Oryzias latipes: one gene and its partners. The protein of the gene in region 2 interacts with the protein of the main gene of each other region in a pairwise test. Links are inferred from orthologs where the notes say so. Each region holds a gene or a part of one and is shown on either strand. Other genes may lie near its edges.

Region 1 (5,858 bases), on a different chromosome or scaffold from region 2:
GGGAATCTGACTTGAAATATTGGATTGAGTAACTATACATTAGGACTTAAAGATTGTCCACACAACCCAACCTGACAGACTCAAATTTAAAAGGATTTATGGTAGAGTAACAAGCAAACATGTGTTTTCTATGCAACTGTAATTGTCACTTAAAAAAAAGTAAATAAATAATGAGTTATTTAACATTAAGGAGTATTTGCATTTATTTTTCATTGCATTTAGTTACATGTATAAGTTATATTTGGCCCTTTGAGGACAGCCACTATGCTGATGTGGCCCTCAATGAAAATGAGTTTGACCCCCCTGGCTTAAAGGAAACAAAGCTGCCAGTGAATCTTTTTACAGTTAACACTTTGGTGTTTTCTGTCTGACAGTCCTAAAAGCCTATGGTATTCCATATGAACTCATGATCCGTGTGCTTTCTGTGTGCACGGAAAAAGGCAAAAAAAAAAAGTTTACAAGTGCAAACTACACTTCTGGTTTCTCATTCTTGCCAGTAAAAAGTAGGACAACTGACAACAAGTGATGAAAGAAATCAGTTTGACAGCTTTTATTTTTCGCTCTTTGTAGTTGCTTTGTGGTCATGGCACAATAGTGAACATACTTTTACTCTCTACACTCCGAGCTGTTTTTGGATGAGGTTGGTGTGGGTTTTTCTGGTACCTATTAAATATATTGCTGAGGTTAAACCAGGTTTCAGAAAGCACAGAAAGTATGCAAAGCTCTTCCTGCAAAGAGCTCCAAATTGATGGGTTAAAGTGAGATCTGCCTTGCGTTATTTAAATGTAGTGTCTACATTTTTAAGGTTCTACTTTAGCAACATTAATAGGACACTTTAAAGACTAGAGAGTCATGAAACAACAGCGCCTGATGAGACAAACAAGATAGCAGTTTCACTATCACGTCTTCTTTTTTGTCTTTGGCGCTGTGTATTTGGTAGTTTGATGCTCCATTCTGTCATATTTATCGTGGCCTTCCCTGGGGACATAATGGAAAAGGGGAGAATTGATAATTCATCACACTAAATACTTTATATTCACGCTGCTTAACAGTACAGCAGCGTGCCAACATTTTATCTGGGTCATAACATGCATTTCAAATCAACACTCTTGATATCAGAGTAAGGATTTCCCATAGAGGGCATCGTTTTAAGTCCTGGTCAGGAATATTAGCTCTAAAAATCTGAAATAGTTACCGGAAGCAGCGGTTGCAGTACAGGCTTCCGTCACACGTGTGACAACGAAGGCTGGCGTCTTGATTACAGATGCAGCACCATGGAAGCTCTTCTTCTTCACTGTCTGATGACTGATGCATGACAGCAGCAGGTGAGATTCTGCTCTTAGGAGCAGGAGCCGAACTCTACACGCCACAGCAAAAGAAAGCAGTGTTTTAAATAAAATGCAGCCAAACAGCTTAAAAGAAAACACAGAATTTTGATCAATGAACATACTGATTTTTTAGACTTTTTTTTGTTTTCTGTGTTCCTGGGGCCACTCTGCTCCATGGGTATATTGTAGCCACTAGCTTCATCAAGAGCTGCCTCTTCTGAAAGCTGGAAAGTCAGAAAAACTAAAAAACATCTTAGCCAAACAGCAGCCTCTTGTGGTCAGAATGAAATGCTGTCCTCAAAAAGGTGCAACAAAGTAAGTGTTTAGTTTTAACTGCATTGTGAAATGCCCTCTGCTTTTCTGTGAATGCCTTACCTGCTTCAAGATTCTCCTCACAGCCTCTTCTTCAGTCTCTTCATCACTGTCAGGACTCTGGAAGTCCTCCATTGTGACTAAAAGTGTATTATAGAAATGTCAGTTACAAAGTTTTAAATTCAAAGTCTAGTCATTTTTCTCCGTCATAAAACTATAAATGTTGGTAAACTGCTCCCTGCACCTTTTTCTGGGTCCTGCCCCTTGAGCTGCGCCAGCCTCTTTGCCATATGGAGGACCTGCTCTTGGGAATGTTGCTCCTGCCTCAGCTCCTGCATTGCCTCCTCGAGAAGACGGTCTTTGTCCGCCTCCAAATGTTTCACCGTCTGCCGATTTTCCTCTAAGTTCTCATCCCATGTGGCACCTTCCCCTTTGTTCAGATCATTCATATGGCTATTTATGTCTTTGAACAAAAAATAAAATATTTAGAATGAAACCAGTTTTCCATGATTAGATTGTAGGGGCAGTAAATTTTATTGCTTTTTAATTAAAACTATTTTTTTAAACAAGCAAAACATTACTTTGTTCATGGTTTAACTGCTGGTTGTCAATGCAAACTTCCTCTGTCATCTGAGTAATCAAATCATTAGCTTGTTCAGTCTGAGTCCGTTTATCAGGAAGCTGGTGAACCTGTCCAGACGAGAGCATAAGGATGTGTTAGCAGGTAGACCATACTATTACCGGACTATTTATGAGATACTTGAGACTCTACCTGGGTTGCATATTTTATAAACCATCACCCATAAAAGAGGTGGGGATTTAACTCACAGGAGGAGGAGCTTGAGATGGTGGTGGTTGACCCCGTAGAGCAGCCAGACGGTCCTCCATTTCCTCTATGGAAGGCACTGGCTGGCTGGGTGCTTTGAGAGCAGCGAGACGAGACTCAAGATCACTCTGAGAGGGAGATGGCTCTATAGAAATGGGGAAAAAAGTATGACAAATAGGAGGAAAACTCATGTCTATTATAGGTGTTTAATTTATGCTCATTAAAAAAAGATCCTACTTGGTCTAGTCTCCTCTTTTAATCTTTGAAGACGCTCAGCAATAATCTGATCTTCTTTACTTAGACCTTTACATGGTAGATGACCCGCTTTGTTGCTCCCTCCATGTGCAGCAGATTTCACAGACTGTCCCTGCTGTTTGGCCTCAAGGGCGGCGACACGCCTGTAAAAGACAGTAACTTTAGATAGTGTTCTTAATAAACCCACATGTATGTATTTTCCCCCTTTTAATCTGATCACATACTAACTTCTTGTAATTTTCTGGTGGGGACCATCTTCCGGCACTGCTCGGAGGTTCTCCACTGATGAAGAGAATAAAAACAAAAGATTATTCGACTTTGGAGAGTTCATCAACATAATTCAGCAGCACTTTTTATTTATATATTTATACCTTGTCAGATTACCGTGACATTGCTTGCAGACCTTCTGTTGAGTGTTTCCGCAGCGAGGCACCACAGCACTAAAAGCCAAACAGCTGGGGCAAAAAGATCGCCCGCAGTTTTTACAGCCCAGCTATAAACACAATATTATATAGAATAAGCCTTCAGTACACATTTATCAAAACACAATCGTGTCATGTTCATATTAGCCATGATACTACTATACCTCTTTTTTGAAAAGACTAAACTTGGATGCGCAGCAATAACAGCGACCGTCCATTCTGCCCCTTCATTAAATATGAGGTTATCACATACGATACACCAGCAATTAAATGTGAAAAGAACTTTGCAAAATTAAGAAAAAATAAAATTAAAAACACAGAAAATGCTTCCTCCTGTTCTTGTATTATATTACTGAACGTAGCTAGAACCAATACCGGAAGTAAACCGGAAAACGTCATTTGTCGTCATCTTTGTTTTTCCGGTATTTTCAACCCACCAATCAGCTTTCTCCTTGTGTTCTCGCGGGACTTGTTCAAAAAAAACAGCGAGCTAACCGTTTCAGCTTTGCACGGTCCAAGATTTACCTGCTTAAAAACTAAAGAAGCTTGTAAGTAGTAATAGTAATATTTCATGTTTTATATTGAAGAAAATTTATTTTATTCTAATTGATTTGCCGAGTCTAAAAATACGGCCACGATTAATTTAAAGCATGCGAATAAAGTGATGGAATATCCATGGTTACACACTCCCACCCTACGCTAAGCTAACTAGCTTTTCGAACAACAACAACCTGTCTTTTTTTCAATTCTCAGAATGAAAACATAATCTGTTTTATCTCAGAATGAAAACATAATCTGGCATAGTTGGTTGCAGCTTGTAGGTTTACACGGTAATACCCCGTCTTAACTGTTTTGTCTACTGTTGATATTTGTGGATTATGGAAATCCTGTAGCAGCACAAACTGATTAAAATAAAATGTATGTATGTAGCAAAGGGCAAAATGACCATTGTTGTGATTAAATTCACATAATCTTTGGTTTGCTTACCTTTAATATCCTGTGATTATTTCAAAGTTTCTGATTGGAGTTTTTTGCCCTCTCCACCTTTTCCAGCATTTCCACTATGGCGGAAGGTGGTGATGTGGAATGGGAGCTAAGCAAAGAAAACATTCAACCACTAAGGCGGGGAAGAGACATATCTGCCTTACATCAAGCCTTAAGTCAGCAACAAGATGGACCCACATCAGCCATAAACCAGCAGAGACAGTATGGATGCTTTTGCAAACACAGCTATTGATCTGAAAGATTTTCAGCTGAAAATGTTTTGGAGTTTGAACATAGTTTTGTTTCCATTATTTAAAAATGTAAACTATCCTGTGTTCACAGAACATTTGAGTCTGAGCTACGCATGTATGATGGAGACGATCCTCTTGGTGTTTGGGATAGGTAAGCGACTTCTAACTAGGAATGCAACAATTCACCTTCCCTACAATTCGGTTCAGACCTCGATTTTTGGATCAGATATGTCCCGATCTGTTCACGCGATTGGAAATGGGGCCCAAGCTTGTAGTTTAATCATTATTGAATGTTTTATTTCCATCAGGAATCAAATATTTATTTAATTCTTATTATGATCAGTGTTACATACATCAAACTTATTATTACAGATAAATGCTCTGCTGGAAGTCTGCATATCATGAACAGATACCAACATTTTATTGCCTTAAAGCTCAGCAGAGTATGGCACTAGTTTGAGTAGGAGGTGGTTGAAAACAATTGGATAAAGTTAGCAAGAAATTCATTGATACAGACTTTTCAGGATCAATAACTCCTTTTAATAAACATTTAAAACTGACAGGAAGTGTCTGTATTGGTTTGTCCTAACACAAACAACATTCAAATTTCATATTAAAAGAAAAATATTAGTTTTTGATTTCTTTTTATGAGAATTGCTCAGTCTGTTTTGAGAAATTTGTACCTGAGCTGCCAACTGAGAGGCGGCAGTGAATCTTACACCGTAAATATACTGGAATGCAGTAGTGATGCAATGATTAACTTTCACCACGATTCGGTTCATTGGTGTAACAAACTATTCTAACTTTCCCCAGCAGGAAATCAAGCGACTTCTGGTTATGTCCTCTGATTCTTCAGTCACTGGGGTTTTTTCAGGGTCATGATCTGAAATTGTGCAGCTGCTCTATGCCTCCCGGAAGTCAAATGGTTCGATTTTAAACCGAGATTTGTGGGATCCCTAGTTCTTACAATAAATTTAACTTGCAATTGAATGTGCCAAATTTTTTCTTTTATTTCTTTTTTTTCTTTTTGAATGTTTGCCAGACTAATTCAGTTGGTAGAGTTTAAAGATCTTTAGAAAACCACCGATTTTCAAATGTTTGAATCTCTAGATCTAAAATGTCTTTGTACCTGGTTGACTCCTTACAGATATATAAAGTGGACAGAACAGACTTTCCCACAGGGGGGGAAAGAAAGTAACCTCACAACACTGTTGGAGCGAGCTGTGACCAGATTCACTGAAGACAAAAGATATCACAATGATCCTCGCTATGTAGACCTCTGGGTCAAATTTGTACGTACTCCTAGCTTTAGATTCATCTTTCCCTCTGTTAAATCATGTTTTATAATGTTTACAACATGTTTGTCCGTTATCAGGCAGAAAACTGCCCCGAGCCCCTGGACATCTACAGGTACATGCAAGCTCAGGGAATAGGGGTGATGCAGGCTTCCCTTTATATTGCTTGGTCTGAAGAATATGAA
Region 2 (4,941 bases):
AGCTGGAGCTGAGCTGCATGGAGGTGAAACAGGCTCTAGCCGGTAAAGAGAAGGCGGAACAGAGGCTGCAGCAGATCCAGGCACAGCTGGATGAGACCAGCATCAGCTTGGAGACACTTCCCTGTGAGCTGCTCCACCAGCAAGAGCGAAACCAGCAGGGTGAGGCAGCGACTTGACTTTGAACGGAACTGGCCTTTTCTGGAAAGGTTCTTGTTTTGATGCTTCAGCAGCCTTACGGGGACCCGGACACTATGTCTCCAGCTGATCAAGTGGAGTCAACCATGTCAAACTGAAACTTTTGTTAAAAACTGATCAGCTTTGAGAAAAAAAGATATAAAGAACATTGTTCACATTCTTATTGTTCATGTCCTCCTGACTACCAGAAATGTAAAGTTGTCCATTATAGAGGGTATTTTAAACCCCAATATTTCCCAACCTCTCTACTACTAAATTTACTCATCTGGTATCTAAGAGGACATTTAAGGCTTTTCAATGTTACTAAGTGGAAAAGGATGGGGCTTATTTTTTTTCTCTGGTAGTTGGAAGAATAACACTTTTTTAAATATCTGGAAATCAGAACAAAATTTTGTGTAAAATGTTTAGGATATGTCTTCATATAATGTTTTTATTTTGCTTTTTAATTAATAATTTATCCAATTTTTTATTATTTTGTGTCAAACCTTGTAAAAACGTAACACTACTGGATTCCTTAGCTTCAGTTCTTTTTGATTTCCATATTAAGTGATGATGCAGGCATCACATTTACCGTTTACCATAAGTGTTTACTTTCCTTTAGAGGAATTTTTATTTATTTTTATTATTATTATTATTATTTTTTTTTTTTTACAAAAAATAGTACCTAAAAAGGAAAAAAAGTGAAGAAAAATACCACAAAACCATCCAACTGTGGAGACTAAAACCCAGATATAGAGGGAAGGAAAGCTGAAGTGCTGATTCTCTGAATCATTTAGGATTGTGTTGGTTGAAGGCAGAGGGCTGAAGAGGATGTCTGACTGGCAGGTCGGCATGCAGGCATCCACATTAGTTGGAGCAACAAACAATTGATGAGTGGATTATGATTTTGGCATGACACACTGCTGAGTTGATGAGATGAATGATTGCAGGCAGGTGTACAGCCTGAGAACCTGCCAGGCAGCAAAGGAGAGAGGAAGAAAGAATTACACCCAACACTTTGGTAAACAGACAGAAAAAACCTCAACGGGGAAAAGAGGCTGCAAAAACACAACTTTTTTTCCTTTAAAAAAAAAAAAGTGATCAGAAGTGTCTTTTACTCGTTCCTTTGTGCTGTTTCATTATGTTGCCCTGGAAAGGAGAATTGATCCATTGATGCACTGAAGTTGAGTTCATCCCCTGAGGTGCATTTGTTCTTCTCCTCCAGCCCTGCAGGAACGAGTGTCTGCGATTGAGGCTGCGCACGCTGAGAAAACGAAAGAGCTTGAGCTCCAGCTGCATGCAGCCCGCAGAGAGCACACCAGAGCAGGTAGATCCTCGTCGCTGCCTGTCGCAGCTCCACGTCAGAGCGCCGAGGTTTATTACTGATGCAGACTGTAATTTAATATGGTCGAATCTGTTTGCACAGTATATTAGCCGTGTGATGGAAGATCATGTCCCTGTGGCTTCTGATGTGTCTGTTTTGTCTGTTGCAGTTATGACTTTGCTGCAGTTTCAGAGACAGGCAGCAAGACAACACGATGAGATAACAGAAACTCCAAACTGGGGGGGTGAAAACACAAAACAAAATGTCCTGAATAAACATGTAAAGGAGATGGAGGGGAGCAAAAAGTTTCTACATGTAAGAACAGACTTTAAAACAAAAACGCTATACAAGAAATGTGTGTGTGTGTGTCTTTTAACGTGACTGTGCTTTAGGTCATGGCCTCTAAAGAGGCCCCGATGGCAGAACACGCACAGAGTCGAGAAACTCCTTCAGAGAAGAGGACTTCTGTTGAAGCAGAGGTCCACCTTCCTGCAGGTGCTGAGAAATATCCTTAATCTAATCGTAACCAATATTTTAGACCCTAACATTCACACAGGGCTAACTCTGTTTTCTCCAAGAGAGACTCCTGAGTGTTTTGGAGGAGCTCCACACGCTTAGCGCTGCTGTAGTAAACAGCTCTGAAGACTCTTCAGAGGAAGAACTCAGAAGTGACGACAGGAAGACTTCTGCTGACCTTCTGGACAGTCAAGACATGAAGAACTGAAGAAGTTTAACTACTGATTAGAAATATAAAAAAATAACCCTATTTTTACTCCATTAAGTTGAGCCATAAAGGCTGGAATCACTTTCATGTTGACTAAATAAAAATTATAATATTTTACATAATCTATTAGTTATTGTGACTTTTTAAATTAAAATCAATAAGAACTCAGGAAAGTATACAAACACTCGTGAATAGTGGGGCACAAACAGATAATCTTCAATAATGTACTATTTCTTTATTATTTTACTACTTTTTAAAATGTATTTGGGTTATTTAAAGGACAGTCTCGTTTCCTACTTTAATTTTGCCGTTCAGCTAAAGTAAGGATTTCCTGCAAAATGCTTTTGGGAGTTGCCTCCAAGTGTTTTCTCGTCACACACAAAGCCTTTTTTTTTCAAATTACATTTAGGCACATTGGTAAAGATTTTCTACTGTAAAAAATCTATATTTTCTATTTGACACTCCTTTATAGAGCAGTCATAAGAGCAATGAGGATAAACACCATGACGAAGCAGGTAATTGTGCTATTTGTCATGCTGTCACCAGTGCTGATAAATTCAGAAAAAGTTCAAAGTTTTAGGCCCTTTAGGTAACAATTTAATAGTCTTGATGAAGTGTAAATATACCCACTAATAAAATCGTCTTTACTCTAAGCTCTCTGACCGCCGGAGAAGTGATTCATCATTTTAAACTGGTCAGTAACTGATTCAGCTTTACTGTTCTAAAAATCTTACTTTTACTGCATATGGTCTAAGAGACCCTAGTGAAATTCAATAAAAAATTACAGAAGTTCGAAGCCTAAATTTAGGTCACGTCCTGTTGACACACCTGAAACCCATTTTTATATTTTTTTGGTTCTTTTTAATTATTATTTAAGTTTATTTGCATCTTTTGGTTGTGATGTTGGTGAATTTCTTTTGAATATTGAAGGCTGATGGTAGCTTGTCTTGCATTTTTCTCTGCAGCACCTTGCAAGTGCACAGAATGACCAACAGAGGGCAGTGTTGTCAAAGCTGAGCTCAAAGCGAACAGCCCTCTTGAAAGGAGGAAACAAAAATTAACTAATAACGTTAATCATCTAGGTTGAAAAGGTTTTGTATGAATAAGAGGATAAAAAGGTGTAGACTATATTCTAATATTATTGATTTAAGACATGGTGAAAAATTGACTAAATCAGGAGAAAAATCTAATGAATAAAGTAAAAAAAAAAGAAAGAAAAAAACTGGTTGTGTTTTACTATTTAGAGCTAAGTAGTTCTGAAAAGTTATGAAAACTAAATATTGCAAAAATTAATCACACACCTGGGAGTGATCTTCAGTCAGCTCTACCTTTCTGGCTTCACTGGCCTGTTTACTGCGATTGACTGTGCAGCATTGTTGTGAGACCCAGTTTCCCCTCCTGCTTGTCAAGTTCATTGGGTCTTATCACAGAGTACCGGGACAAGCCCAAAAGTCTTTTGCTGCAGTCTCTGGTTATCATCAGGTGTTTTTTTTTCCCCCTGTCTCCTCAACTTTTCCTAATTGTGAGTGATCCAGTGATATCAAATATATGTGAGTCAATGCACAAAAAATAATTTTGAAACTCAGAGTTTTGACCAAAACCAGATGACATTTTTACAAGCAGATTTGTGATTATTAAATGCCTTACCTTAACGTGGAGTGTGAATATATTAGATGTGTATTTTATTGTGTGGGGCGTCTTTTTCTTTTTTTTTGCAAGAATAGGGATTGGGGGTTTCTGTATTCTTGTTTGTTTTTATGTGCAGCACCTTGAGCTGTTTTATATTTTTTTACATGAAATGTGCTTTATAAATACAATTAATTTGAATTTGAATAAAACAGAAGAGTTTTTGTTTTAGAATTAAAAAAAAAAAAAATCAAAGGCTTGCTGTGACTTCCTTTCACTGAAATGAAACAAAGCATCATCCTTGCAGGATGAGTCTCCTCCTGTGTCAATCAGTCACCTTGTTGGTTTTCACTTCAGACTTGGGGGATGAGTGTAATTTAGTCATCAGCGATATCACATTAATCACATTTTGCTGGAAGAACAAATGAATAAACAAGAATAGATAACATATTTTAGCTGACACACAAGCTGACAAGCCTGGAGATTTGAAGAGAGAAGTAATTTACTCTTCTTTTCAATTGCAAGAATTGTTTGAGTAAACACTGAAAATAAAAACTGCATGATACTTGGTATGGAGATGCTCAACACATTTAAAAAATACATTGACTGGCTTTTTTAAGTGTACTGTAAGGATAATAGTTTCTTTTAATTAGGTTTCTAAATTTTTTGTTCAGATTTTCTTTCGGTTCATTTCAAAAAGCCTTTTGGGTGACCTTGTAAGTAACTAGGCCTGCACAATATACCGCAAATTTATCGTTATCGCAACATCAAGCTGTGCAATATACATACAGCAAAAGACGGCGAAAATCGCAATAAATGGTTACCTTGACCCTTGTGCTATCCTAGGCACTTTAACATTGGGAGTTGGGTCATCTAGACCCACTAGACAGTGCACTGAACTTTTTTCTTCAATGATTTGTGATCTTCACTGGTGTCCATGGATTACATGAAATCTTTCCACCTTTATCCACCTTTGTCATGGTAGGGAAAACACGTCAATGTAAGGGGGGGGGGTCATCTAAGATAGGACAAGGGTTAAATGTGCTAAAACAAACTCATGGCAGCTTGAAATATTGAATAAATGAAATAAATC
Region 3 (5,785 bases), on a different chromosome or scaffold from region 2:
TAACATAAAATATTTAAAGTTTTATCTAAAAAAGTAAAGAGAATTGCTCTTACGTGTCATTTTTAGCAACCCTGAGCTTTTGTAGTGGTCAAAGATTAAACCCAGCTCCTCAGGCGATGGATAAACACATTCCTCCAAAACAGAAGGAGCAGAGGCAAGCCAGGCTGCGGTCTGTAATCAGAGAGCGGTCAAAGGTCGCAGTCTGATGGAGCGACACGGGTAAAGAAACCTGAAAAATGTGTCAATAACACCTGTTTAATATCTGGAGCTGGAAACAGCTTTTCCAGTTTGGAGAGCAGCTCCCACATCAACATGTGTAAGGCTGCGTCATACTGTGGGCCATATTCAACGGGAAAAACCTCCTAATAGAACAGAGAATACAATTTCTTTTACATTTTTAGCAGGTTTTTGAACACACATGCCCAATGTGTCCCTAAAGGTATCTCACCTTAAAGAAATAAGCCCTCTCAATTGGATCTTTCAGCAGGCTTTGTATCAGAGCAATGAAAGTAGACTCTGTTGTTCTCACCTCTGCATCCACATACTGCAATAAGACAGAAGTGTCACTCTACAGTAAATATTTAAATATGTGGTTCAGCTCCTTCACCTGACTTACGCCCGTGTTTGCTGAAGTTACGGAGAATCTCTCCAAGTAGCTCTGGATAACTTCAAAATCAATTTCCCCTCGAACTGAGCCTTTACACAGCTCCAAAATCAACTGAAATATGACAATATTTACTCAGCCATAAGATATAGACTACAAACACTCCTTTATGCAACACAAAAGACACTCACCCGAGCTCTTAGTCCAAGAATGAGCTGGGCTTTCTGTAGGGGGTTGATTAGGCCAGGAATGGCCTCTGTCACAGTAGACACAAAGTCCTGCAGCTTGTCGTAATTTAACACATCTTTATGCTTTGCAAGATGCCACACAGCAGCAGACAAAAGCTGGAGAGGGGGAACCAAGAGACGCAGGGATGACAGAGGCAAGCTGGGGTCTGAAAAAGAAAGGTGTGATGCAAAATATTGCCTATAGAGGGCAGTAATTAGCCTGTTTTTAGGCATGTTCATGCTACTACTAGAGGTGAAAAACCCCCACTCAAAAGTAGCATTACCTTACAAATAAAAAAATGATGTGCTGAATTTTAAATTTAAGATATTAAATTGTCTAAAAAAGAATTTTCTTAACCTTAACAAATGCTAAATTGGCGATGTGCCTTTCATGATCTGTTATGAAATTGAAATAAATGCTGGATTTACATCTATGTTAACGATTTAACATGGGAATATATTGACTGAAACGATTAAAATTCAACAACAATAAAAAGTACAACTGGTCTGTAAACGTAATGTATCACATAACAGAAAAAAACTACCTGTGATTTCATCAACATTAACAGTTAGCCAGTTTATACTCCACACCATTCCTTAAGTTAGTCGGGTCCCAAAGAGTATTTTCAAAGCATAAACGTGATTTACGACTACATTTATTAATCTGAATACACTTACGATTAGTTTGCTTCTTTGACCCAAAAACGTCCATTTGCATAGTCCAGCGTTAAAAGTCTGAAAATAACAGTAACTGTAAAAAAATATTTTTTATTGGTTTTTCTAGCTAACATGCGCTGTTGGGACGCAAACATCGTTTCCTCCAATGTTTTTGAGGGTTCCGCTTTCAAAATAAGAGTTTTCAGATTCAAAATCGAAAACATTGTTATGTAGTTTATGCATATTCGCAAATAAACACGAATATTTCAGTATGTATATTTTTTTATTTAAGATGGTATTGTTTTAAATGTATTATCAATAGATTATGTGCACAAGTTAAATGCCCAAAAACTAAGACGTTTCACCGCAGTGATAAAGTTGGTTGTTGACTAAACTTTATAGTATTTTAAACCAGATGTGAAATAACAGTGCTATAAAATGGAATTAGGGTTTTAAGTGTTGATATTTATTATTTAATCAATTTTAAACTTCAGATCCAATTTAATTCAATTTAATTCAATTCAATTTTATTTGTGTAGCCAAAATTCAAAACAACAGTCGTCTCAATGGGCTTTTCTACTCATTGACCTGAAAATATCCTTGTAGTTTTATTTAAATCCTCTCCATTCTTCTTGTAATTCTTTTTATTTAATTTTTTGTTTATTTTTCTATTTAGACACATTTTTTTAAAGTTTTCAAAATAAAAGCTGAAGTGTTAGGCCATTGGTGCAATATAGCGGAAGTGACAAGAGGAATAGGACGCGCTATGACGTAATTACGCAAGTCACATGAAACCTTCACTACAAACCTTTTTAATGTGCTGTTTTCTTTATTTACACCCCATGTAGACAGATTATAAACGATACTGGACGTTTGCGCGGAGTTTTAACGACCCAGCATGGACGAGGACGGTTTGCCAATCGTGGGGTCTGGAGTTGACCTCACGAAGGTTTGTGTTTTTTTTAGCTAACAGTCATGGTTCGCTTGTAGATCTCCGTGGGAATGAAAGAAGTAGCTGAAAGATTAGTCAAGTAAGACTTTATGGGATAATAAACATGATTTTAATCACATTATAATAGGATTCAATCAATATTCCCAACGATTTTGTATTTGCAGAATTATTTTTCGTGTTTTCTTTTACTTTAAAATGCATGTTTTTGTAAAGGCTGGCACTAAGCATGACTCTAAATTTCTCCAGAATCTGATAGGACTCGCTCTCATGTGTCATCGTTTTCCTGATTAAATGACTTTAAACTCCCTTCTAGGTTCCAGCTATACAGCAGAGACGAATTGTTGCCTATCTCAATCAGTTTGTTGTCCACACAGTTCGATTCCTGAACCGATTTTCCACAGTTTGTGAAGAGGTTTGTGCATCTTTTACATCGTTAAAGACCCACTTTGATGGAAATCCTGTATTTAACGTGTTTCTTGTGGGATTCATCTCAATATACTTAAGGGAATTAAGCTTACAATTGCATTTTTGAGTATTATTTAATTCAAATTGTTGTAAATCGGGAGCAGACGAAAAAATGCAGTTTGAAAAAGATTGTATTTGTGATGTAGAAAATGCGGCGGATGGGTCACAAGCTTCCTGCTCCTCTCCATGCTGATGCATCCATTTGTTGCAGACAAATAGATCCATGTATGTCTCTGTTTTCCCCGTCTGAACTGGAATCTGGCTCTAAACTGTACGGCTGGATAGCTCCAAAATTGCTCGCCATTTTTGTTGTCCTCTTAATGTCAGTTTACGGGTGTTTGAGGGGCTGTAAGCTTGGGGAGAGCATGTAAACAGATGGATGATAGGAAGTAGGGGCGGGCTTACTCTGCACCAACTGTCGAACAACAGTTTTTTTTTTGTTTTTTTTTACATTTTTGCCTAAAAAACAACATTAACATAGTTAAAAGACCAATGGAAACACATTCAATATAGATCAAAAGTTGATGATTGGGACTTTAAACTCGATTGACTTTGAATTTATCAGTGTCAAAATGTGTGAAGCCCTCATGGTGGGAACTCGATCAATCCAAAATATCAACATTTCCCCCACAGAAACTTGCAAACATATCCCTTCGCATCCAGCAGATTGATACCACCTTGTGCATTTTGGAGGCTAAGGTGAGCTGTCACACCCTTTTCAAATTGTCATGGATGTCATTTCTTTTTTTAACAAATGTTTTTGTTGTTGTTTTTTGTCTTTGTGGAGCAGTTGGCCTCCATTCCCGGGCTGGAGGAGGTCACAGTAGATGGACTGAACCAGCAGCACAGTGTGCAGACAAATGGGCCCACTCCAACCAGTCAAATCCAAACAGATGGGTCTTCAGTGGGAGCAGTTCCTTCCTCAGTGGTGAGTGTTCAGACTTGTTATAAAAAAGACACAAATATCCCAACCCCCCCTTCCCCCACAGTTTTTCACAAATTTATAGATTCAAACCTGATACATAAGGATTATGGTACATTCATATTGTGAAAGGTCGACCGATGATTTACCTTTTTACTATAGTTTTTTTTAATATATAATTATCTCTATTGATTTTCTTATTTTATTTTATGACAAACATGAAAATAATCCTAAAATAGCTTTACAAAATTTTTGTGTAATGTAGAATTCCTATGGGGTCAAATCCAGATCAACCTAAAGTGAAGGAAAAAACACAAAAAATAAAATTTAAAACTGTTTTAAACTCAAAAACAGATGTGAAAGAAATGTTGTAAATGTGAAAAGTATAATTGTAACTTTGAAAAAAAAAAAAAGATTTTAAACTTGAGAGGAATATAGAAAATTTGAAAAATAATTTTTTAAGTTGAAACTTAAAATTAAAAAGAAAAACTATAAACTTATAACTGTTACCAAATGAAAATTAACATATATTTGTAACAGCTGCTGTTTTGTATTGATGTACCAAACTTTGGGAGAGAATTATCACTACTGTTCGCCACATCAGAGGAGGGATGACACAGGCGGCGCCAACAACTACCGCTGTTGTGGAGCGGAAATGACATCATCATACCCTTTATGACCTGATGTCAATCATGTCCAGGTAGCCAATGGGCTCAAAGCCCCAGATAACAGTCAGAATTCTGAATTGATGACAAGTTTAGGTTTATGTTAAGTTGAGAATGTACTTTTATTTACTTATTTATTTTTTAAAATTTAATTTAATTAAAATAACCAAAGTGTACTTTTGAATTTAAAACTGTTCACTAATTTTCTCAATTGTTTTTAATTTTACTTTGTGGTTTTTCATTCCCTTCAAGCTGATCTCGATTTGACCCACATATTTCTCTTTTGTAGTTTTGAAATTTCCAATCTTGCTTTATTTACACAACAAATAAGGAACCAGTTAGTAATATAGACTGAATAGCAGGGATCTGGTTGCCTGTGTGCGTTACAGAAACATTCTGAGCATCTGTTTAGTGTACAGATATTATTTTCGCCATATTCATCAGGATTATAGTTTCCTTTAAAGCTGCTTTTCAACGTTTCTTCATGCTTCAGCCTCAGGAGGCACGACAAGAAGCTCCTGAGCAAAAAGCAGCAGCCGTTGCAGAGAATGTCCTCACAGTGGCCAAAGACCCACGATATGCCCGCTACCTGAAAATGGTTCAAGTGGTAAGTTATTATCTGATGTAAATGTTTAACAAAAGTCATATTTTGTTCAGTAATTTAATGTATTATTTTATGTAATGTATTTTTTTATTATTATTCAAGGGTGTTCCAGTGATGGCCATCAGGAACAAAATGATCCTGGAGGGTTTGGACCCCAGCCTACTCGAGTGAGTTTACATGGTTTGGTGAATAGCAGCGCTCCTATTTTTTTATCTTTATTCCACTAATAATGACAAAAATGTGTCCTCTTGTCTTTTGATAATAGCACGCCGGATGCCCCTGTGCCCGACGGAGCAGGAGCCAACACAGAGAACGAAGGGGCTGCTGCCTCCAGTTCTGACAGTGAATCTTCCTTCAGTGACTGAAACCTCTTTTTTTATTCTGCAAAACGTCCTGTAAGGTTCAAAATGCAAGTCTGCCTATAAAGAAACACATTGCAAAGAATCCAATCAAGTTTGTTAGGTGATTGTTTATATCCATCTGAATGAGCTGCAGCATTTTGATCAATGTTTAAAATGATTTGAAAAATATGTATATATATTTTGTCTATTCAAGAAAGCAGAAAGAGGAAGCTTTTTGAATGAGTTGGAGCACTAACACCACCTGCCTCACATTGTGTGGATGCCCACTTGTTCTAATAATAGCAGGGGGTCCCTCGTATTCTGTAGGTTGGGGCTGTGTAGCATCAG
Region 4 (5,734 bases), on a different chromosome or scaffold from region 2:
TTATGTTGCTGCACTTCTCTGTTCTTGTCATGAAAATTGATTTGAAACACGGAAGCTGACGTCAGAAACAGCAGAAAATCAGATACAATATATTTATGCGTTAACCAAGAAAATGTGAATAATTGTTGTTCACTTCTGTGACTTAACAATGAGCCTTAACCTTAAAGACCCACTCCACTAACTTAAAACAGATAAACATTTTGTGTTTTTCTGGCATTTTGCTGATAATTGAAGACAAATATACAGAAAATTGAGCTTAAAATTACATTTCTGAGTTTTTCTTTATTCAAATAGTTGTGCATCAGGACCAAACAAAAAATGCAGTTTCAAAAAAGACTATATTTGCGTTATAGAATACGCTGAGCGAGCCACAAGCTCCCTGCTCCGCTCCATTCTGATCCACTTTTAGACAAATAGATCCATGCACATTTTTGTTTTCCTTGTCTCAGCTGCAGTCTGGCTCTAAACTGTACGGCTGATAACTTCAACATTGCTCGCCATTTTTGTTGCACCACTAATGTTAAGTTGGGGTTGTGAGGGGCCTTTAAGCTAGTGGGAAAGTATGTAAACTGAGAGCTCTCAACAATGAGGAGGGTAAGGTGGGCTGGGTTACTCCAACTGTCCCAGACATACGTTTTTAATGAACTCCCTGTAAACTTTATTAAACAATAACAATGTTTTTTATTTTGGCTAAAAACAGCATAATCATAATTAATCACTAGGAATGCTCTTACAATAGATCGAAAGATGATCGGAGTGGGACTTTAAAATTGTATGGACAGCACCAACACATTTCCTAAAAGAAGTATAATTTAGAAGTACAAGTACCTGAATATTGAGAAAGAAAAAGACTAGTGACTCCACTACATCTCTACAAAGGTGCACAGCTTGCTCCCCCGTTGACAGCCACCTTAACGTGGTGGGGGAGTTTGAGAGCTCGAGTGATCCCAGGAGCTAGGCTGTCTGGGGCTTAAGACCCTGATAGGGTCTCTCATGGCAGACAGGTCCTGGGTGACGGGTCAGACATAGAGCGGTTCAGAAGCCCCTGATGAAGAGTAATACCAAGGAGTCAATTACATCGCCCGGATTGGTGTCACCGGGGCCCCACTCTGGAGCCAAGCCTGGGGTTGGGGCTCGTAGGCGAGCGCCTGGTGACCGGGGCTCTTCCCACGGACCCCGGTCGGGCTCAGCCCAAAGGAGCAAAATGGGACCACTCTCCCATGTGCCCACCACCCGTAGGAGACCTCAAAAGGGGCCGGTGCAATGTTGCTTGGGTGGCAGTCAAAGGCGGGTGCCTCGGCGGCCCAAACCCCCGTCATGGAACTTGGCTTTTGGGACATGGAACGTCACCTCTCTGGGAGGGAAGGAGCCGGAGCTTGTGGGAGAGGTTGACAGGTACCATCAAGATATAGTAAGGCTCACCTCCATACATAGCATGGGCTCTGAAACTCAGTCCTTAGAGAGGGGTTGGACTGTCTACCACTCTGGAGTTGCTCATGGTGAGAGGCGGCGGGCTGCTGTGGGCTTACTCGTGAGTCCCCATCTCAGCCGCCAAGTGTTGGAGTTCACCCTAGTGGACGAGAGGGTCATGTCCTCCACCTTCGGGTGGGGGACAGGTCTCTGACTGTGGTTTGGGCTTACGTGCCGAACAGCAGTTTAGAGAGCCCGGCCTTGTGTCCAGTACCCCTCTCGAAGGGGTACCCCAATGGGGGACTCTATTGTCCTCCTGGGGGCCTTCAATGCCCACGTGGGCAATAACAGTGTGACCTGGAGGGCAAGATTGGTAGGAATGGTCTCCCTTATCTTAACCCGACCGGTGTTTAGCTATTGGACTTCTGTGCTCGTAAGTTTGTCCATAACAAACACCATGTTGGAGCACAAGGGTGTCCATCAATACACGTGGCATCAGAACACCCTAGGCAGGAGGTCAATTATCGACTTTGTAGTTGTATCAGGAGATACAAGACCTTTGGCCTCGTGTCTTGGACACTTGGGTAAAGAGAGGGGCAGAGCTGTCAACCGATCACTACCTGGTGTTGAGTTGGATTCGCTGGCGGGGAAGGAGGCCGCAAAGACTTGGGAGACCCAAACGCACTGTGAGGGACTGCTGGGAACATCTGGCTGAGCCCTCCGTTAGTGAAGTCTTTTACTCCCACATCCGGGAGAACCTCAAACAGATACCGAGGGAGGTTGAGGACATTGAGTCCGAGTGGACCAAGTTTTCCACTTCCATTGTCTCTGCCGCTGCTCGAAGCTGTGGTCGCAAGGTCTCTGGTGCCGGTGCGGCGGCAACCCCCGAACCCGTGGTGGACACCGGAAGTAAGGGATGCCGTCAAGCTGAAGAAAGAGTCATACCAAGCCTGGCTGGCTGGTGCACAGCTTGACATGCATACCCAGCACCACAGTGAAGGATGATCCTGCCTGATCTTGAACCAGCAACCTTCCAGAGGTCCACATAATTAACCCTTTAATCACCGCTAGTTTGTCAAAACTACTATAATCATCTTTTCTTTAGCTGTTTTTGAAAATTCATATTTTAAAATGATACAAGTTCCCTTCAGTTTCAATGTAACTGAACAAAATTTTAAAAAATAAATGTTTTAACCAAGAAAATCTTTTTTTAATGTATTAATCCAACCATTATCACACAGGAAGGTCATAAAAAGCCAGCTCTTGTTGACCAACTGCGTTGTGTGAGTAAGAGGTCAACACATGTGTCCATTGTAATGTAAACACACATGTATCTCCATGAGTCCTTTCTTTCCTATGGCATGGAGAGCCTCCAAACAAAAAACTATGACCCAGTAGGACTTTGACTTTTCCTAATCGTGTGTATATTTTGTTCTCACGTTGTTTTATCATTTTAATTTTTTTTAAATGCAATAGAGATCTGAGTATTTATACCCCGATTGACCGTAGCAGTCAAATTGGTTCCATGTTTTTTTTTTACAGGGGGTTTCAGATTTCACAACATTTTCTTAATTTTTTCTCCTAGCTTTTTGTTTGTTTGTTTATGCTCTCTGAAACCAACATAGTTTTCTTTTTAACCCAAGAGAAACAAAAGTGAAAAATAATAAAAAGACAGGGGATGCCATGAACTGGAGAAGGCCTGATAAGATGAATATTAGGCTGCAATATTTTGGTAACAGTGGAATTACATCTTTTCATTTAGCATCCTGGTGTGTTTTTACTTATTACTACCTCTTATAAGTATCATAATCCAGATTGTATACAAATAACGCCAAGCGGTCAACATGACTGCCTTGGTCGTCAGTAGTACTGTAGTGGAATTCCTTAACCGAGTGCTTAACCATCGCGTTTGACTCTGAAGTCGAGCCAAAACTTTCAGACATGAATCCACTTACATGAAGATCGAATGAATTTCCGGGTAGAAACGGTAAAGACGACATGACGACGACAGGAACGAAGCGCTTTTCTTTCTAGAAGCTGCGGTGGGCAGAAGCCTGCTGTCCGTTGTTGCCGGTTGCTATGGAAACGTCAACTGTTGCTATGGCTCATAACGAACGTGTATGGTATATTTAAATGCGCACAAAAACAAAACAAAAACTAAAAGATAAAGGAAAGAAAGAAAACTGACGTTAAAGATCCATTCATGTATTGATTTTCTAAACCAGTTTTGGTCCCTTCCGGGGTCAGGGGGCTGCCGGAGCATAACGCCGCCACTCGTGGGCGAAGGCAGGGGACATCCTGGACAGGGCGCTAGTCTGTGCAGAGCCAGTTTAAGTTCCACACTAACCTTGTTTTGAGCCACTGTAAAAAAATGTTCACATTGGTAATTTGTAAAGATTCTGCTGTTTAAAAAAAACAAAACGTGTTATTTTCTAGGGCTTACAGATAAGCCTCCGCTGATATCCCATCATTCCATTGTTTACACTCTCTCTTCCACTAGCTTACAACCCCTCACAGTCCCAAGCTAACATTACCAGTGCAATCAAAATGGCGAGCAATATTGGAGCTATTCAGCCATCACATTCCAACTCAGACGAGGAAAACAAAAACGTCCATGGATGCATTTGTCTTCAGGTGGATGCATCGGAATGAAGCAGAGCAGGGAGCTGATGGCTAGCCTTTCTACCTAATATTCTCTCTATCAAACATTTTTTCATCAGCTCCTTATTCACAACAATTTTAATAAATAAATACTCATACAACTTTAGGTTCAGTTTTCTTTACACATGTCCTGCATCATCAGAAAAATACCACAAGAACATGTTAAAAACACCAAAAACACTGGAGTGGGTCTCCAATAAAACCAAAACCTTCAGGAATGAAAAATGTAAAAGAAAAAACTTAGTTCTGTTTTTTGGAGATGTTTTATTTAGATTTATAGGTCTTCAGTCTTCATAAATTCATCATAACAACAAAAAACACAAGAGGCAGAGCAGGCAGACATGATGACCCATGTAGCACTTTACATGAATGTTCAAGCTTCCACTCTTAAGCTGACTGACGCCTGCAGATCCAATGACGATAATGGAGAACAGGGTAAAAGGGTCTCTGCCACTCACTGCAGAAACGGAGTGCAAACGTTTGGAATAATATCAGCTTGGTACAAATAAATAAATAGAAAACATTCTGGTTTACTTTGATTTTAAAATTAAATCTGTGTGACAGGAATCCTTTAGTTGAGTAAAAGTTTTGATAGTCTAAACAGGTTCCTCTTTAACTCATCCTTCCTGTAATAATGTATAACGATTAAAGTTCATGGAGAACATAAGTTGGTTAAATATGAAATCCTTAAAAATCAAACATAGTCCTTCAGCTGTCTATCATAAATACCTTCATATATCGTGCTTAAATGATGCAAAGAAAAGAAAAAAAACTGCATTTATTGTACTTTCTGAAGCAACCCCTGCCAGTGAGGAACCTTTACCCAATCATTGATCAGCTGTGTTGCTCTGTCCCGCTGACATCAAAAGCTGAAGTGAAAGTGGCCGCTTGCAGTAGAAACGCCCCAGCACTGATCTGGAGTTGAGAAGATCAGCCTAGGAAGCCAGACCCAGCAGGAACCCTCCAACGAAGCCGCTGGTCACCACAATGTTTTTCTTCACAAACTCTGTGGACTGAAAAGACACATCTTTAACTTTGCTGAATCACACGGGACTTTCCTCCATACTCAAATTAATCTAAGTGGAGCTTTATCCTAAATAATAAGGCGTACAAGCTGACTAACCGTAGAACCCCTTAGAGTTGATGATGAAGGGCTTTTCCTGCAGTTTTTCTTTAGCTGAACACCAATTAGAGTGCTGTAGTGTTAACAGTAAGCATGGTTGTAAATAAATCCCAAATCTCTGAGCTTTTTTTGGGAAGTTTGTTTTGGACTAAAGGATGAAAAAGTTGTGCTTTTTAATTTTCCAATATTTTTCAGAAGCGAGGTTAAGGAACAACCATAGACTACAAACAAGAACTTGACTGACTGACTGAGTGTGATGTCATCCATAGAAAATGGATCCAGCTAAATGAAGACAATTCAGTCGATACTTTGTTATGATATCAATGTTGCCATGTTGGAGCCAGGCAACGTCAGTAAGCTGTGCTTGGTCCAGTGAGTGGTTTCCATGGCAACCACTTTCACCAATCAGGAGTAAGCTTGCTGGCAGTCCACACCCCTGTCACTAAAAGTGGGCTCAGGAGAATCTGTCTAACGTTTTAAATGTTGGGCGTGTGGGGCCAGCATACACCACATACTTTTGAAGCATTTGATTGGTCAGTT

The links. The genes of interacting proteins can lie anywhere in the genome.
Region 1: the proteins of coiled-coil alpha-helical rod protein 1 (region 2) and zfyve19 interact in binary tests that used the Homo sapiens proteins (3 or more experiments, as listed by UniProt). The link is inferred for Oryzias latipes from reciprocal best matches to the Homo sapiens genes CCHCR1 and ZFYVE19.
Region 3: the proteins of coiled-coil alpha-helical rod protein 1 (region 2) and washc3 interact in binary tests that used the Homo sapiens proteins (3 or more experiments, as listed by UniProt). The link is inferred for Oryzias latipes from reciprocal best matches to the Homo sapiens genes CCHCR1 and WASHC3.
Region 4: the proteins of coiled-coil alpha-helical rod protein 1 (region 2) and efhc2 interact in binary tests that used the Homo sapiens proteins (3 or more experiments, as listed by UniProt). The link is inferred for Oryzias latipes from reciprocal best matches to the Homo sapiens genes CCHCR1 and EFHC2.

The regions. Positions count from the first base shown.
Region 1 is NC_019880.2:14,825,523-14,831,380, forward strand, and holds zfyve19 (abscission/NoCut checkpoint regulator), read right to left. Parts: upstream 3,549-5,858; 5' UTR 3,362-3,548; coding exon 3,308-3,361; intron 3,215-3,307; coding exon 3,093-3,214; intron 3,004-3,092; coding exon 2,950-3,003; intron 2,865-2,949; coding exon 2,704-2,864; intron 2,612-2,703; coding exon 2,469-2,611; intron 2,331-2,468; coding exon 2,222-2,330; intron 2,104-2,221; coding exon 1,885-2,103; intron 1,781-1,884; coding exon 1,704-1,780; intron 1,553-1,703; coding exon 1,451-1,552; intron 1,360-1,450; coding exon 1,196-1,359; intron 979-1,195; coding exon 900-978; 3' UTR 524-899; downstream 1-523. Other genes in the region: bub1b (mitotic checkpoint serine/threonine-protein kinase BUB1 beta), read left to right, coding at 4,207-4,349, 4,470-4,529, 5,526-5,670, 5,754-5,858. UniProt on the Homo sapiens protein: Key regulator of abscission step in cytokinesis: part of the cytokinesis checkpoint, a process required to delay abscission to prevent both premature resolution of intercellular chromosome bridges and accumulation of DNA damage.
Region 2 is NC_019872.2:16,061,137-16,066,077, forward strand, and holds the end of coiled-coil alpha-helical rod protein 1, read left to right. Parts: coding exon 1-159; intron 160-1,399; coding exon 1,400-1,501; intron 1,502-1,667; coding exon 1,668-1,813; intron 1,814-1,890; coding exon 1,891-1,993; intron 1,994-2,076; coding exon 2,077-2,222; 3' UTR 2,223-3,593; downstream 3,594-4,941. UniProt on the Homo sapiens protein: May be a regulator of keratinocyte proliferation or differentiation.
Region 3 is NC_019881.2:17,520,138-17,525,922, forward strand, and holds the start of washc3 (WASH complex subunit 3), read left to right. Parts: upstream 1-2,237; 5' UTR 2,238-2,386; coding exon 2,387-2,437; intron 2,438-2,753; coding exon 2,754-2,852; intron 2,853-3,538; coding exon 3,539-3,604; intron 3,605-3,695; coding exon 3,696-3,833; intron 3,834-4,985; coding exon 4,986-5,099; intron 5,100-5,198; coding exon 5,199-5,263; intron 5,264-5,361; coding exon 5,362-5,461; 3' UTR 5,462-5,785. Other genes in the region: zinc finger protein 252, read right to left, coding at 54-171, 252-362, 449-544, 617-718, 796-998, 1,510-1,549. UniProt on the Homo sapiens protein: Acts as a component of the WASH core complex that functions as a nucleation-promoting factor (NPF) at the surface of endosomes, where it recruits and activates the Arp2/3 complex to induce actin polymerization, playing a key role in the fission of tubules that serve as transport intermediates during endosome sorting.
Region 4 is NC_019879.2:12,533,132-12,538,865, forward strand, and holds the start of efhc2 (EF-hand domain-containing family member C2), read right to left. Parts: upstream 3,549-5,734; 5' UTR 3,411-3,548; coding exon 3,366-3,410; intron 1-3,365. Other genes in the region: fundc1 (FUN14 domain-containing protein 1), read right to left, coding at 5,007-5,084. UniProt on the Homo sapiens protein: Microtubule inner protein (MIP) part of the dynein-decorated doublet microtubules (DMTs) in cilia axoneme, which is required for motile cilia beating.